Linked DNA regions of Cricetulus griseus. The protein of the gene in region 1 purifies or fractionates together with the protein of each later gene. This does not show direct contact. Links are inferred from orthologs where the notes say so. Each region holds a gene or a part of one and is shown on either strand. Other genes may lie near its edges.

Region 1 (8,734 bases):
CCCCCCCCCCCCCGAGACAGGGTTTCTCTGTGTAGCTTTGGAGCATATCCTGGCACTCAATCTGGAGACCAGGCTGGCCTAGAACTTTAATCCCAGCACTCGGGAGGCAGAATCAGGAGGATCTCTGTGAGTTCGAGACCAGCCTGGTCTACAAGAGCTAGTTCCAGGACAGCCTCCAAAGCCACAGAGAAACCCTGTCTCAAAAAAAAAAAAAAAAAAAGGTGTGCACCACCAACGCCCGGCATCCTGGCCCTCTTCTTACCTTCCCATGACTGAAAACTTTTGAATTTGCCTACTTGAATAAAATGAAAGCAAGAGAGAACTTAAAGGAACGAGGACAGAGGTAATGGGGAGAGAAAGTAATAGGGACGTTAGCAGGCATGTTCATATGTCTGTGAGTGCCTACACATTCGTGTGGATGAGCCAGCACACGTGTGTGTGTGTGTGTGTGTGTGTGTGTGTGTGTGTGTGTATGCCTACACATTGAGTGTGTGACTGTGCCTGTGTGTTGCTGTGTAGGAGTGCATGGTGCAGGTGTGGGGAGGAATTGTTTCAGCTCACTGTCTTCTGAAGCTGCTGTGCTCATCACAGCTTCCTCTCTGGTGGGGACTCTCAGCCTGAAGCTCCCTGCCTTAGTTTCCTCTTTTTGTGAAGCCAAGGTATAGTCAGTCACCTCCAGGATGTATGAAGGAGGGAGACAGTGCCCTCTAGTGGGCAAAAGACATCCCGGCATTCAATGGTCAACGTCCGCCAGCACCCCACAAGTCAAGGTTGGAACTTACCTCCAAAACTCCCCTGAGGAAGGGCAACAAAGCAGGCTCTGTCCCCCCTGAGAAATAAGGCCTGGCAGGTGGGAAAAAGATGTTCATGGGGCACCAGACAGAAAGGGAATCCATGGATGTGTATGAAAGAGGACAACAGTTGAAGATAGCTGATCTCTCTTCATATCCAGTCTCTTTTTCTTTTTTTGGTTTTCTGAGACAGGGTTTCTCTGTGTAGCTTTGTAGACCAGGCCAACTCAAAAAGATCTGCCTGCCTCTGCCTCCCGAGTACTGGATTTAAAGGCGTGTGCCACCACCACCAGGTCATACCCAGTCACTTTTGTGGGGTTTTGTTGGGTATCACATCTGTCTATCTATCTATCTATCTATCTATCTATCTATCTATCTATCTATCTATCTAGTTTGTGTGTGTGTGTGCATATAAAGGTCAGAGGACAACTTGTGGAAGTCAGTTTTCTTCCAACTACGAGTTCTAGGGATCAAATTTCGGTGCTCAGGCATGTCAGCAAGCTCTTTTCTGGCAGCCATCTTACCAGTCCACTTTTTGGTTTTTTGAGACAGAGTTTCTCTGTGTAGCTTTGGAGCCTGTCCTGGAACTCACTCTGTAGACCAGGTTGGTCTCGAACTCACAGAGATCCACCTGCCTCTGCCTCCCGAGTGCTGGGATTAAAGGTGTGCACCACCAATGCCCGGCGCCAGTCCACTTTTATGTGTTTAGTCTTTTCTCACTTCTTTTTCCTGATGTAGCCTCTACCTTGATCCATTCCCACTACCTTGATCCATTCCCTCCTACTGGCTCCATGCTGAAGGATCTGTGGATTGCCTCACATCTGCAATGCCTTGAGCAGAGACTAGACCCTTCTATCTGAACCCTGGGCAAGGAAGACTTCCTGTTGTAGGAATGTAACAATAGGGTATTGAAAAAGAAGTGGGGAGCTGGGTATAGTGGCTTCGGCCATAAACCCAGCTGCTTGGGAGGTGAGACAGAAAGATGAAGAGCCCAGGAGTTCAAGGACAGCAACACAGGGAGAGCCTGTCTTTAGGAAGTTCAGAGGGCTGGAGCTGGAGAGCTGGCTCAGCAGTGAAGAGCACAGCTGCTCTTCTAGAGGATGCTTAGTCCATCCCCAGCACCCACACAGTGGCTCTCCACCAGCTTCCGGTGGTCTGTGTCCAGTTCCAGGGGATCCAACACCCTCTCCTGACCTTCTTAATGTTGCACACACTGTGGTGCATAGTCACACAGGCAGGCAAAATACCCATAGACATTAAATAAATAATAAATAAATAGATCAGAGAGATCAGACATGGTGGTACACGTTTAATACCAGCATTTGGGAGGCAGAGACAGTTGGATCTCTGTGAGCTCAAGGCCAACCTGGTCCACATGGTGAGACCATGTTGAAAAAAAACAACAAAACAATAATAATAGTAATATAATAATAGTGATGATGATATCATCAGGGCCAGCAAAGGTGACTCAGCAGGTAAAAGCACAGAGCCTGGTGGCTTGAGTCTGATTCTGAGCATGGAAAAAGAAAACCATTTGGGAAAGTTGTCTTCTGATCACCAGACACATACTCACACAGAAGGCAAAATAAAAAGATGAGCAAAAATGAGTAGGAGCCAACCGAAAGTCCTGGGGCCGTGGGTGAGCCTAGTATGTCTGGGAGGCTTCAGGTAGCTGGATGCTGGATTGGGGGTCTGTGTCAGAAATGAAGGGATTTCTGTTGTATAGGTCCATCTTAGGGGTGAGCTTTACTAGAAGCAATGAGGAGTTTTGGGCATGATCACATGACATGAACTGAAGACAGGGACAAGGGAGGCTGTCTATCATTCAGAGGGAAAAAACAAAAGAACTGAGGAATGTCTAATGGCAGTGGAAGGTTGAAGAGGGGCTGGACCTCAAGGCTTTTTCTTCTGGGGTTTTGTGTCCTAGCAGTAAAGCTGAGGCCATGAGCAGCCCAGCAGCCAGCTCTTCTAGAACCCAGCACCCTGCCTCTCATCCCAACACATCCCGGGTCTCCTACAAGTGGGATGGGGGTTGGGGAGTAGGGCTAGGCCTTAAATTCCCTAAGGAATGGGAAGGCCCAGGTAGACTTGTTCAGCCTCAAACCTACTCCTGGAACTGCTGAGAAAGAGTTAATCTGCTTTGCCTGTTTCCCTCCCTCCCTTCCCTCTCCTAGGTCACCTTCTTGGCCCTAGAGACTTAGCTGGTGGCTCAAGTTCCTCAACCAGTGGCCCTAGGCAATCAGGGCACAGAGAGGTCAGGATTCCAAGGGTAGGGAATGGGACATTGAGACCCGAGGGAGTCTCAGGACTGATGGGTCTAATGCTAGGGTTTGGGGGGAGCTCTCAGGCTGATTCCCAACATTTCTCCTGCCCCAGGACCTTCTGTCTCCATACTGGCCACAATTTCTTCCACCCACTGGCGAGAACTTCTCACACCCCCCTTCTAAATTGGTTTTTTTGGGGGGGGGGTGTTTGTGTGTGTGTGTGTGTGTGTGTGTGTGTGTGTGTGTGTGTGTGTGTGTGTGTGTGTGTGGTTGGTGGAGAGCAAGGCAAGCTGTGGAAGGGTTAGAAGTTTCTGTCAGCAAGCTTTTCAGCTTCAAGAGTCCCTCCCCCAGTGCTGGGAACTGGTCAGAATTGAGTCTGTGGTCAGTGAGAAATTGCTGCTAATGGAACCTGGGCCACCCCACAAGCCACAAAAAAGGGTGGGGGAGGGAATGAGGACTATATGTGGTGAGCCTGGGGGAAGGATGTGGGCCTAAAATAGAGCTGTAGGTCAGAGGAGAAGGGGAGTTAGGGACTAGCTGGAGGGGACTTGTGGGTCAAGGGAGTGACTGCAGGGATGCGAGGCTGGGGAGGAACATAAACTGGAGGTGACTGGAAGTTAAGTAAGTATCAAAGGAATGATTAGAGGGACCAGAGGCCTGAGGGTAGGCTGAAACAATAGGAGTGATGGGTGGAGAGGAATTAGAGAGCCTGGCTAGTGTCTATGGAGGACCTGAGGCTTGGGTATCCCAGAAGAAGATCCAGATCGAGTGAGAATAAGGCAGAGGGCAGAACTGGGATGCTGAGACCGATGGACATGCCCAGAAGCAGTTGGAGGAAAGAGTAAGCATGGATGACCTGCAGGAGGGAGGCAACTGAGGTCATTCTGAGGAAGGGACCGCATTGGTTGTCACCTCACCTGAGGAGTCTTTCCCAGGGATTTCACTTTGCTAAAAGCCTTCATTCTGCTGGCTGGAGCCAGTGTCAGGCAAAGGTCTTCAGCTCCCCTCCTCCCCAGCAGGCCTCCCTTTCCCACTGCCATCAATTATTCATCAGCACAGACACCGCCCTCTCTAGCAGGACAGTCTGGTCCTCCTCCCTGTGCCTGCCCTGGCTCAGCCACACTGCCACAGAGGCGCTGGTGAGGGAGAACAAACAGCTGGGCCAGTGGAGACTTAGCCAAAGGGCTCCTTAGCTGGCCCTGCTGGATCACACCAGAAGCCCCATCTCCTTCCCTCCGGCACCATCCTCCTGCCCCTGGAGAAGATGCCCATCCAGATCTTTTGCTCTGTGTCATTCTCCTCTGGAGAAGAGGCCCCAGGATCCATGGGAGATATCTGGGGTCCTCATCACCACCGGCAGCAGCAGGACAGCTCAGAATCAGAAGAGGAAGAGGAAGAGAAGGAAAAAGAGGCACTGAAGAGGGAGCTTGATGACGGAGACTCACCTAGGGACTTGGTGGCCTTCGCCAACAGTTGTACCCTCCATGGTGCCAGCCATGTCTTTGTGGAAGGGGGCCCAGGGCCAAGGCAGGCCCTGTGGGCAGTGGCTTTTGTCATAGCACTGGGTGCCTTCCTGTGCCAGGTAGGGGACCGAGTTGCTTATTACCTCAGCTATCCACATGTGACTTTGCTAGATGAAGTCGCCACCACAGAGCTGGTCTTCCCGGCGGTCACATTCTGTAACACCAATGCCGTGCGGTTGTCCCAGCTCAGCTACCCTGATCTGCTCTACCTGGCCCCCATGCTAGGGCTGGATGAAAGTGATGATCCTGGGGTGCCCCTTGCTCCACCGGGGCCAGAGGCCTTCTCCGGGGAGCCTTTTAATCTCCATCGTTTCTACAATCGCTCCTGCCACCGGCTGGAGGACATGCTGCTCTATTGTTCCTACTGTGGGGGCCCCTGTGGTCCCCACAACTTCTCAGTGGTGAGTGGGGCCCATGCTTAGCACAGTACCCCAAGAGTATATGGCATGGTCTCTCTCTCTGGCCATCTGCTCCTGGGACAGGGGCTGAAAACTGCTGAAACCTGCCTGACCTGGGCCAGAGCTCACCTGGAATCTCAGAGTCTGGAGCTGGACTAAGAGCCCTAGGTTCACAGCTCTTCCTAGTTGTGTCTTGAAATATGTCCCCATTGTAATTGGCTGCTGTTCTGATGCCTGGACTATCCTCTAGTCTCATCTGCTCTTCCCCAGACCTCTTCATGCTGTAGCACAGTCCTGCAACTTTGCTCTAGCTACGAAATCAGCCTATAATCTGGGGTGGGGTGGGAGCTATGTTCTGACCAGTTGTTGACTATCATCCCTGGAGTGATAGTGGGGGGTCACCTAGTCTCTAGAGGTGCAGAAGGGGGTCATAGATGGAGGGGATAGCCCCTACCTTCACCTCAACACCATGTCAGCCAATCTCACAGCAGGGATTTAATTGCATCCTTACTTTGTCTTCTGTGCTCTTCCCCATTGGAGTTGATCCTCTACCAGCTCTCTCTCTCTCTCTCTCTCTCTCTCTCTCTCTCTCTCTCTCTTCTCTCTCTCTGTGTGTGTGTGTGTGTGTGAGAGAGAGAGAGAGAGAGAGGGGGGGGGGAGAGAGAGACAGAGACAGAATATGTGAGTGTGTGAGAGTATTGTGAGTGTGTGAGAGAGAGAAAGAGAGAGAGAGAGAGAGAGTGTGTGTGTGTGTGTGTGGTCCATCTATCTGTCTATGAATCTGGGAACCCTCTAAACCAAAGCCCATGCTCCCAGCTCTGATTAAGTGGCCAGGACTTTCTTCCTGAAGGAAGCCATCATTGAAAATGTCACTTTCTCCATTGGTCTCCTATCTGGCCTGATGCCCCTCTGGTCCCTGCAGATTTCAGATGCCTGGCCTTTCTCCATACCCACCCTTCTATGTCCTACCATGTAGGAGCAAATGGGTGTCATCTCAGTCCCTGAAATGATTGTGACCTGGTGGTTTTGGCCACTGGGCCTCAGGGAGGGCAGAAAATACAGGATCACTAACAAGGAAGGTATCTGCTTTGAGGCCCTCAGAGCTCAAGAGCACCCTAACATGCCATGCTTTGTTACTGAACACTCCAATGTGCTGTGCCTTGGTGCTCAGTCCTGAGTCTTGGGGGAGGAGGTGATATGCCTGAGTAAGTTTGGTTCTTGGCATGGCAACTGGGTCTGCTGTCGGATCCTAGTAATAATGGAACAAAGGTGGCCATGAGAGGCTGATAGTGGAAAGAAACTAAAGGGTTTTGAGTGGCTTAGGTATGGAGGAAGGTCTTGGGGGAGGATTTCTAGCTCAGGGGTTGAAATCCCAAAACAAAGATCTGAAGATCTATTTCAGAAAGCCTCAGTGGTTATAGGATCATGGTGATGGAGATGTATATGTAGGATCCTAGCAAGAAAAAGATTGTCACTTGATAGTTCAGTTGAAAAGACTTTAAAAAGGGGGGCTGTCTGCAGAGCTGTGTGTAAGATTAAGGGAGCAATGGGACCAAATTGTTATCACTTCTAGGCTGAAGGTGCACAAAGGGAGTCCTGGCAAGAGCTAGGATCATGGAGGGTCTAAGCCACTGCCAGGGTGGCAAGAGAGAGGCAAGGAGAGGGGATCAGTACTCTCTCTCTCTCTCTCTCTCTCTCTCTCTCTCTCTCTCTCTCTCTCTCTCTCTCTGCATCTGATTCCTTGTGGTTCCCAACCAGAAGCCTATCAGGACTCTCAAGCTCTCTACTGCCTTCCACCAGGTCTTCACACGGTATGGGAAGTGTTACACATTCAACTCGGGCCAAGATGGGCGGCCACGGCTGAAGACAATGAAAGGTGGGACTGGCAATGGCCTGGAGATCATGCTGGACATCCAGCAAGATGAATACCTGCCTGTGTGGGGAGAGACCGGTATGTTACCCTGTTCAGGAGCCCCCTCCCTGAACCCCAGACTCAGACCCTTGTCCTTTCTCCCAAGATCACTCAGCATCTGTCTTTGTTCCTGTGTGACTTCCACACGCTTGGTTCCCTGGCTCCCCCTTCCCGGTTCAGTTACTCTCCAAGGTAACCAGCCATCCTCTTCCATCAGTGGCCGCCACTCACTCTATAAATATCTCCCTCTCTTCTTGGGCTGCCTGCCTGTCTGGTCTCAGGGGACATAGGGGCAGAGAGATGGGGAGAGAGGAGAAAGGGGTGAGGAGAAATGGAGAGTGGCTGAGACAGTGGCCCTCCAGGAGAAATAATCTGAAACACCAAGAAACATCACAGACCAGGTAAGAAAAGACGTGTGTAGGATGCAGAGGTCACTGGGGTACTATGGAACTGCTAACACAGGAGGCTAGAAGTGTGCTAGTACCCCATAGCCTCCTCACCAAGTCCCAGTGGAGACTGCTTATTGTCAGGGGAGTTATGATGCCCCAGGCTCTGAAGATGACCAGGGACTTGGAAACCATCCTAACTCACGTGTCTTCATCTTTACAGACGAGACATCCTTCGAAGCAGGTATCAAAGTGCAGATCCACAGCCAGGATGAACCTCCTTTCATCGACCAGCTGGGCTTTGGTGTGGCCCCAGGCTTCCAGACCTTTGTGTCTTGCCAGGAGCAGAGGGTGAGGGGCTGCAGAAAGCTACTTCTGGGGTTGTGTGTTGAGGAGTCAAGATGGGGTTCTGGGGAACTGGGAAGATGGCTCAGCAGGTAGTGTTTATTATACAAACATGAGGACCTCAACTGAGATCCCTAACATGTGGGTAAAAATCAGGGTGGTACACACCTGTAACCCCAGTTCTGGGCTGGGGGTGTGCAGAGACAGGTGGATCCTTGGGGCTAACTGGCCAAAAATCCACAGGTTCAGTAAGAGATCCTGCCTTGAAAACAATAAGCAGAGAGAAATATCCAATATCTACTTCTATTTCTGAGCTATGCATGGGGCACAGTCATATTCACGTGCATACAACACACACACACACACACACACACACACACACACACACACACACCATACACACACACACACACACACACACACACACACACACACAGGGAGAGAGACAGAAAGAGAGAGAGAGGACAAAAATGGAAGAAATACTTTATAAACCCTAAGACCTTTAGAGGTGCAGGGATACGACTCCTGAGTTCTGTATCTTGCCAGAGAAGTCCACTCGGTGAGTTGGGGGAGAAGTCCGCACACTTCCCCAGCTCCCCGGCTCTCCCAGCAGCTCATCTACCTGCCCTCACCCTGGGGCACCTGCAATGCTGTTACCATGGACTCGGATTTCTTCGACTCCTACAGTATCACCGCCTGCCGCATTGATTGTGAGACACGTTACCTGGTGGAAAACTGCAACTGCCGTATGGTACACATGCCAGGTCAGGCCCCAAGATTCCAAGCAGAGCCCTGGGCTATCTCAGGCTGCACTGCCCCTCACCTGTGCCCCAGCCATATTGGCCTCCCTAATCCTGGTCCCAGATCACTCTGTTTTCTTATCTTTCTGGTTCCTGTCTCTCAGTCCCTGCCTATGTCTACGGGAAGGGATGGAAGGGTCCAGAAGGGGTAGACTGTCAGAGTAGGTCACTTCCGGCGCACAAGGGGTGACTACTCCTACTGTCCCATCTTCCAGCTTCCTCCTTACACAGTACCATGCCATCACAAGACCCCTTAAATCTCTCCCTGTCCCACCATCTTCTCTCCTTTGTAGGGGATGCTCCATACTGCACTCC
Region 2 (8,991 bases), about 20 Mb from region 1:
GTCTTGAAAAACGGGGTGGGGGGTAGGGGGTGGTGTGTGTGTGTGTGTGTGTGTGTGTGTGTTAAGGGCTGGAAAGATGACTCGGTGGTTACGAGCACTTGTTGTACTTGCAGAGGACCTGAGTTCAGGTTTCAGCACCTATATAGTGGTTTACAGTCATCTGTAACTGCATTTCCAGAGGATCTGATGCCCTCTTCTGACCTCCATGGGCACCAGGCATGCATGGTGTGCACACACATACGCAAAGGCAAAGCATTCACACATAAATCTAAAAAAATAAACATTCTTCAAAAGTTCTAAGTGAAACTTATTTCCAAACTTATTATTTTTAAGTGTTGGGGATGGACCACTCTAGGCACATACCCTACCACTGCGCCTCCCCAGCCCTTTGACCTTCACTCCTGAACTTGAGCTCATGTTCAAGGAGTAAGGGAACAACATTAACAGAAATTCAAAAGAGATCTCTAGAATATACACTGTCCATCTGCTCTTCCTCAGAAAGCCAGAGGACGTGCTCCATCCAGATGGGGACGGAGGCCAAAAGGGGGGCCTGGGACTGGGAATGAAGAGCAAAGGTTCCCAAGGGGTTAGACTGAGGACAGACAGAAGCCTGAACAGGATGGGAAAGTCTGACTGTGAAAAGTCTATTCAGAAAGCAAGAAGATCACATGGGGGCAAATAGCAGGAAATACCAATGACAATAAGAAGCTCTGCTAAAAAGAAAATGGGCTGAGCATGGCGGTACATGCCTCTAAGTCTAGCACTTGAGGTATAAGCTGGAGGATCAGTAGTTCAAGGCCAGCTTCAGCTACATGGGGAATAAGAGGCCAGTGTAGGCTACATGAGACTCTGCTTTTTTTGTTTGCTTGCTTGTTTTTGTTTTTTGAGACAGGGTTTCTCTGTATTGCTTTGGGCCCTGTCCTGGCACTTGCTCTGTAGACCAGGCTGGCCTCGAACTCAGAGATCCACCTGCCCGAGTGCTGGGATTAAAGGCCTGCAACTCAAGACTAAAGAGGTGGCTCAGCAGTTAAGGGCACTGGCCACTCTTCCAGAGGAGCTGGGTTGGAATCCCAGCACCCACATGGTGTTTCACTACTGTCTATAACTATAGTCCCAGGGGATCTGATGCCCTCTTCTGGCCTCCAGAGGCACCAGGCATGGATGTGGTATACAGATACACATGCAGGCAAAACACACACACACACACACACACACACACACACACACACACACACACACACACACACACATTAGTAAGTACACGCCTTTAATCACAGCACTCGGGAGGCAGAGGCAGGCGAGTTGAGTTTGAGGCCAGCCTGATGATATACAGAGTGAGTTCCAGGATAGCCTCCAAAGCTACACAGAGAAACCCTGCTTCAAAACAAACAAACAAAAAATAATAAATAGAGAAAGAAAGACACAAAGACACCAGTTCATCAGAAAGTTCAACCTAAGTGCTACAGAAGGGTGAGGCTTGTTTCTGTCCCTTTTCCATCCGCTTGGCCTTCAGAGCTAGACAGGGATTTAGAAAATGTTTCTCGAATGTTGCCTGTGGTGCTAATACTGAGTCAAAACAGTGACTGTGATGGGAAGATAGGGTAAGAGGGAGATATGTGGTTTTAGAAGAGAGTTGAACTCTTATCTCCTGAACCAAGAACAAGTGATCAATCAAGAAAACAAACAAAACCAGGAGGGCTGGAGAGGTGGCTCAGCAATTAAGAGTGCATCCTGATTTACAGAAGCCCCACGTTCAGTTCCCAGTCCCCACTTAGCTTCAGAGGGATTTGACACCTGGTCTGCATGGACTCAAGTGCACACACATACGCACACACACATAATTAAAAGTAATAACAAAACCAAGGAAAGCAGGGGAGTCATATCTGCGGCAGTAGCTGAAGGGCAGGGTGAGAGAGGGCACGAACTGCTGGCAGACACAGGCCTCCTGCACCTGACTTGCTATACGCAAACACAACAAACCCCATCATGTTATAATGCAGTTCATGCAAACAAGCATGCCCTTCGGGTCCTGAACCCACAGGGCTGAGGGGAGTGGCACAGATGCTGAGCAGGCATGTGACTAGGAGGAACCTGGGAAATGCCTCCCTCATGTCTCCTGGGGCAGAGGAGACCAAATCACCCTCATAGGTAGAGGCAGGAGCAGATGATCCTCCCAAAGACCCAATGTCCTATCTGCCCGAGGCCTACTCTGCTAGGTATCCCAATAGGGTAGAGTGTGGATCCTCCCAAGGCCACAGAAATGTCACAGATTGGCCAGGCACCTGGTGAAGGAGGCCTCGTGACAGGCCTGCCCCACCTGCACAGCAGTGGCTGGATCACAGGGTGGCTCCCCTAACACTAACATAGCAGCTGGGAAAGGCGCAGCTGCCAGGAACCATAGCAGCTGTGACTAGGTGCAGCTGCCTAAGTGCCTGGCCCTGTGCATTTATTTAACTTTCAAAATTTCGTATGTATGTGTGAATGAATGTCTGTGTACCATATGTATGCAGGGACTGGAGACAACAGAAGACAGCATCAGATCCCATGGAACTTGAGTTATAGGTGTCTGTGACCTCCTGATAGGAGTGCTGGGAACTAAACATGGGTTACATACTTTAAACCCTCACTTTTCAGATCAGAAAACTGAGACCTAGAGTGAATAAGAAACTCACTGGTATTCGGGGATATTCATGTGAATCTTGGGCTACCATTTTCTTTCCTTTATTTGCTGAGACAGGGTCTCAAGTAGCCTACATTGGCCTCAAACTCATTCATTGTGTAGCTGGGCATGACTTAGAATTGTTGATCCTCCCTGCCTCCACCTCTAAGTACAGGGGCCACAGGTATATGGGGCCATGCCCAGCAAGGACATTATTATTTCACAGCCTTCCTACTTCAGTTGGCAAACAGATTCATCGGAGACTGTTACTGAACGTCTATTACACACTAGTCACGGACCAGCACTAACTTCAGTTGAATACACATGATGTAAGGCCAAGAGTCTGCCAGATAGCTAGATCAGAACAAGCTGTAAGCAAACAGGTGAAAAACAATAGGGACAGTCCCACTTAGAGTGGTGGCCAGCCCTGCTAAGAACAGACCTCAAAAACAAGAAGGCCTGCTGAGATTCCTCGGCTAGTGCAGTGCTTACTATGCAAATCTGATTGTTTGTGGATTTCAAACTTGTGATCTCACAGTAGAAAATTGACTGATTGAGGGTTGTCCTTTAACCTCTGTATGTTCGCCATAACATAAGGGCACACACACTCACATACACACACACACATCAAACACACATAAAAAAGCAAATACCAATCATAAAATTTTAAAGAAACAAGATAGACTTTTGTGTCTCTGTGTATATGTTTCCACACACAAGTGTGTGTTGGTCAGTCACTCTTTGCTTTCATTCTTCAGGTATCAACCACTTGTTTTTTCTTTTCTTTCTTTCTTTCTTTCTTTTTTTTGGATTCAGTGTTTCTTTGTGGCCTGGAACTCACTTATTAGGCTAGACTGACTGGCTAGTGAAGCCCAGGGATCCACCTGTCTCCACCTCCCCAGCACTATGGTGACAGGAGCACACTACCACACACCGGTGTTTTACTCAGGTGCTTGGGATCAAACTCTGCTACTCAAGCTTGCATGGCAAACACTGTACTGACTGAGCCATCTTCCAGCCCCTGGAGCTAGCTTTTTCAAAGTGGAGAAACGCACCTCTTTCTGTCACACCCAAGAAGGGAGGTGACTCACTCTACCCAGGACTCTGCCCCCACCTCCAAAGTGTGCCTCATACCTGGACAATATAGAGACAGGGACAGTACTGGGCCCCTCCTCCAATGCTGATCCCAATCAGGTTCTGAGCATCCTTCTGCAGGGTGACCTTCCCAGGCACAGTGGGGATGCCTCTGCAAATAGAAGCAAGTGAAGGTGAATTCTGGAGAAAGGATGACTGAAAGGAGCAGGCTACACAGAGTAGCCTTTTCCTACGCAAGAACATTGGTACCAGAACATGCTCAGGAGTCATGACTACAGGATCGAAGCCCAGAGCTGCCATATCCGCTATGGGACTCAGGTCAGGAACTTTCTCTGCATCTGTTCTCTTCATCCATAAAGTGAAATGAGGCTCCCTGGTCAGAGACCTTACATGAAATGCGCATGGAAGGCTCTCCCCATCTTAGTCCAAGGAAACAAACTTAAAGATTCAGCCGGGCTATGTCCTTGTCCCCATCTCAGGCAATTGCAGGACATTATAGCCACCTTCCTTTTAGAATAAAGTTACTCAACTATCCTCCAGCCATCTTCCAATTATACTGTCAGTTACCACCCAGCATTGGCTATCAATGAGCTTAGGTGTGTCTTGTAATGAACAGGCTCAGGTGTCAGCTTGGTTACTGAAGACCGATTTGCTAACAACCAATGACTGCTCACCCCTTACTAAGGATTAAAAACACACAAGGCCATGAAATCTACTCCACACTCTGGGAGTACCTTCTAATTCTTGAAAGTCTACCTTATTGGTCATCTATGCTGGGGAGGAAGGTCAGGGATATCCCCATGCAGCCTTTGCAACCCTGGCTAGGTTGCCACCTTCCCAGACCACCCCAGCAGGACAGCTCCACCTGCTGTGTTGTGGATGGATCATGCCATAGGGCTTACACAGCCTGAATCGTCATTTATCTGTTAATCTGTCACACCCCTCAGAAGTGATGACTGGGCCCATTTCTGCTTCTGGACGCCGAGAAGTAAAAGTGTGTGGAGCTAGGACACCCAAGGACACGAGGGACCTGGGTCCTCAGCTCCCAGGTCTTGGGGAAGAAAATACTCACAATTTATCCTCCTCGATGTCATAGTCTAAGTCTGCAAACATGGTTCCAAGAGTTGGGGCCGACTGGCTAACTGCCCAGCTCGGGAGGGGAATGGGGAACTGGGTCTGGGAGAGAAAAAAACAGGGCTTCGGGGAACTGAAGTGCCCAGATGCCAGCCCCAAGCTCCCACCCCTCCCCCATCCAGGACAGCGGGCCTCTGGTCCTCCCCTCCGAACTGGGGTAGGGAGCCTAAGGCTGGAAGGCGGGCAGGTGATTCTTACTTGGTACAGGGGACGACCCCAGGCCAGGGCGATGGGCTCGGATTCCAGAATCCGCCCTGCGGTCTCCAGACCCTTGGGAGCCTCTTCGGTCGCTCACCGAGAGAGTCGGTCCCACAGCCAGGCCTGGGCCAGGCTGGCACCTGAACCCACCTGCCGTTCCACCTGGCGGCGATCGCGACTGTCTCGTCACTTCCGGCAGGACGCGGAAGTCCCGCCTCTCCCCTTGGGTATTTGCCCCAATCCCTGCAGGCAATCCTTTTCTCTCCGCTCCGAGACTCTCTGAACCAGGAAAAAGAACAAGTGTTGGTGGAAGTTCGCTGTTCGTGTGAAAAGAAGGGAAAGGAAGGAAAGGTCTAGACATTCTAGCGGTCCCGGACTCCTCCCTTGGCTGTGTCGCCATCTTGGGGAGGGCAGGGCTCTTCCCGGCTTCCTTAGCGGCACTCTGGGGACCACGCAGGTCCGGCGGTTGCCGGGGCAACGGAAGCATCTTGGGGCCGACGAAGTTCAGTGAACTGCAGACCTCACAGCCTTCGCTCTCACATTTGCAGTACCGATTCCTAAGGAAAGCCAGTGTTTCCTCTACCACAAAGCGCCAGGGCTGGAAGTCCCCTCAAGATCTCAGTCTCACAGAGAAATTAAGTTCCTGAGAGAGGGAGTAACTTTGTTCAGAGATGCTTACAGTTGGTGTTAAGATCCAGATCTTGGTCCTGAAACCCCTACCGCCAGTCTGGGGCCCTTTGAACATCTGTGGTAAACTTGGAGCCACGAGAGGTATATTCTGTGGGCTTTTAAAGGACAGATTCGGTTTGGCTTTCCTGCACGTACCTCAGTTTCCCCACATACATCCTATTAGCATTCAGTCAATATTTCTGAGGTATTTTGGCAAAAGCTCCATCATACCAAACCCCCTCCTTAGTCCCTTGAGCCCTGGAGTCCTTTTGAAGATACAGCCCCCATGTCCCTCAGGCTCAACAAACACCATCAATGCCTCCCAGCTGGGGAGGCCAATGTTCTCCAGGCACCGACCCCTGCTGCCAACGATTATGTCAAATAAAATGGCTGGAAGAGTATGACCCTGCTAGGACCACAGTGCTGGAAACCACCTCATCCAGGCAGAGTGGCACCAGTGCCCTTACACAGCGATTAGAGGGTACATTAGGAGGCATGTCCTTGTGCTCCCAGATAACCACTAGGGGAACCAGGGGTGCTAAACACACAGGGTTGTCACTTGAAGGGAGAGATGAAGAACCTGTTTGCCCAGAAGGCAGGCAATGCACATGGTTAACTGCCTAGTGATCTTTGCATTGTCTGCAGGCTGAGACCACACTTGATACTTCCCCAGATCCTTATCTTGAGCTTGTTTCCTCAGTTCATCGATGCATCCCATCTTTATGGAAGATATCACTTGTCCTTTACAGTGTAGTCATGTCTCAAGGTCTGATGTGCACATTACTGAATAATTATCACCAGGATACTTTTTTACTGAAATGTGCTGATTATATATGCCCAAAATAAACTCCCCAAGGGGAAGACTCCAAAGGCTGCACCAGCACTGGCCACTGAGTCATATGAGCCAAACTGCCATCTTGCCTCTCCCAGATTGACACCTTGCTGACCTCAGTGTTCACAGAGACCCCACAGTGGTATGGGATGACTATCCACATGTCCTCTGGAAGCCCTCCCATCACCTGCAGGGAGCTGAACTATCTCAGCAGGTGTGTTGAATGCCACCATGGCAACCACCTTCCCCTGTGCCCACTGCTCTGTGGCTCAGATCACTGTCAGAGAATCCTAGTACATCTCCACCTCCTGACAGGGGAACAAGTCCTGGCAGCTACCCTGTGCAATGGAGAATGGACTCTGAGACACCTTCCCTTTATTGTATGTGGTCAGTGGCAGGAGTGGCTTTGCCAAGCTCTGTTTTCAGGATGGTGGTTTTGGTTTTGAGATAAGATCTCATGTAGCCCAAGTTCACTACCTGAGAATGGCCTTAAAGTTCTATCCTCCTGCCTTCATGTCCTTGGTGCTGCTTGCCCAATTGATGTGGATCTGGGGATCCAACCCAGGGCTTCCTCAGCTTCTTTCCCCCACACAACCCTAGTTCATACCCAGGCTCTGCAATTTTATAGCAAGGAATTTGGGGCAAGTCACCAGCACAATCTGGCTGGGAGTAAATGCTTGTAGAAATTGACATGGTTCTCTATGGGGGACCAGGAAGGACGATTGGGGTGGCCTCAGGAGGTCCAGAGGACTGGACAAGTTCAAGGAGAAGTGACCAGGACAGCAGGAGTGGCCCCAGTTTCCTCCATTATGCTGGAGTCACAGGCCAGTTAGGTACTGAACTGGGCTCAGTGGAGCAGCACCCTCCAGCCCAGAATTTGCATCAAATTCACCTTTCCAGCCCCTAGATGAACAGCATAAGTCCAAGCCCCACCATTTCACTGGGAACCTTAGGCAATTGCCATTTTTCTACAGTCCTTGGGTGCCTGCAGAGCAACCATCCTCCCAAGGCAACCAATAAAGGATGGAATTTAAATGTGGTTTGTGAGTGAGCTCTGTCACACAGGTGGCAGAGGTCTCATTGTTGCCTCACAGGAAAACCATGTAGTCCAACCATCTCAAAGGGCAGGGCTGACCATGTCTCCAAAGGGCCTTACAGTACTTATGCTTCTGTGTGTGGCACACCTGGGAAGTGTCCTGAACTCGGATCCCTGGGCTCTTCTCAGACCTATAGAGAGAATCTGGAGAAGGGTCCTGCAGGCTGCATTTGCACAGTTCTGTGGGTGTTGTCCAAAGATGTCAGAGGTCCAGAATGTAGTATCTAGATACCAGAAAGGGCTGTTCAGTGTACCAATACTCCTGAACAAGGGCTTCCCTATCCCTGGAGAGCAGGATACTGTGTGGGCCCAGAGGAGTGCTCTAACCAAGGCAGGCTTCCTGGAGGAAGAGGCTCTCCATCCTACAGGAAGTGCTCTGTGCCAGCAGAGGAAGAGAGGAAGGTAAAGGCTTCTAGAGGCAGGCTGTGAGGATACAGTGTCTGACCTCAGAGAATCTGTGTGCCAGGTGAGATAGACAGCTGGGAATGGTGACTGGAGAACAAGGCTACCACGCATGTCTCATGGGATCACCGGCAAGCTTCACATGTGGAGTATTCAGCAGAGACCTCATAGAGACTTCTAGGCCTTTCATCAAGAGGAGCAGGGCTCCTGGGGTTTAAAACAGAATGAAGATAACCACTCATTTCAGGTTCCTTGTCAAGCTCCGACTCTGCCTTTCAATTCATTCCTGCTTGCACAAGCCCCCTGTTCTCCATTCTCTCCAAGCAGACCCTGACCTCTCTTTTATCTTAGTCATGCCACTTAAAGCTTGCAACCATGTCCAAGTTGCAGCCTCTGGGTCCACCAAGATTGCACCTCTGTGGTTCCCTGCATCAGATTCATTCCCCAGAGCCACCTACTGCCACGCATCCTTTTCCTGGGGTAGTGCTCCCCCTGGTGGCTAATTTCAGTGCTGCCTAAGAGTGCCAAAATAGCCATCACCCGGGTCAGAGCCTGCTGACTCAGGACTGACTGCAGAGCCTGAGAGTCTACGGTGTGTGGACAATGGGTAAGGCTGGTCATTTGAATGCCAGGCTGTGCCTGACTCTCCACTCCTCAGCTGCTGTGACTCAGCACACGCATACGATCCTCACTCTTTGACTTGTCCATGGCATTGAAGGTCACTGTGAGGGTCAAGAAGTCAGGGATGGGTCTGACCCATTCACTCATTCCTAAGTTCATTTTATTTTATTTTATTTTTTATTTTTTGGTTTTTTGAGACAGGGTTTCTCTGTGGCTTTTGGGGGTTGCCCTGGTCTTGTAGACCAGGCTGGTCTCGAACTCACAGAGATCCGCCTGCCTCTGCCT

Evidence for each region.
Region 2: the proteins of Asic1 (region 1) and Pick1 purify together in Homo sapiens (affinity purification with western blotting; 3 studies listed by BioGRID and IntAct, with this or other methods). This does not show direct contact. The link is inferred for Cricetulus griseus from reciprocal best matches to the Homo sapiens genes ASIC1 and PICK1.

What each region holds. Positions count from the first base shown.
Region 1 is NC_048595.1:396,128,101-396,136,834, forward strand, and holds the start of Asic1 (acid-sensing ion channel 1), read left to right. Parts: upstream 1-4,319; coding exon 4,320-4,979; intron 4,980-6,776; coding exon 6,777-6,927; intron 6,928-7,497; coding exon 7,498-7,625; intron 7,626-8,232; coding exon 8,233-8,383; intron 8,384-8,712; coding exon 8,713-8,734. UniProt on the Homo sapiens protein: Forms voltage-independent, pH-gated trimeric sodium channels that act as postsynaptic excitatory receptors in the nervous system, playing a crucial role in regulating synaptic plasticity, learning, and memory.
Region 2 is NC_048595.1:376,343,301-376,352,291, reverse strand, and holds the start of Pick1 (PRKCA-binding protein), read right to left. Parts: upstream 5,499-8,991; 5' UTR 5,237-5,498; exon of another isoform or gene 5,087-5,236; intron 4,931-5,086; 5' UTR 4,868-4,930; coding exon 4,827-4,867; intron 3,906-4,826; coding exon 3,794-3,905; intron 1-3,793. UniProt on the Homo sapiens protein: Probable adapter protein that bind to and organize the subcellular localization of a variety of membrane proteins containing some PDZ recognition sequence.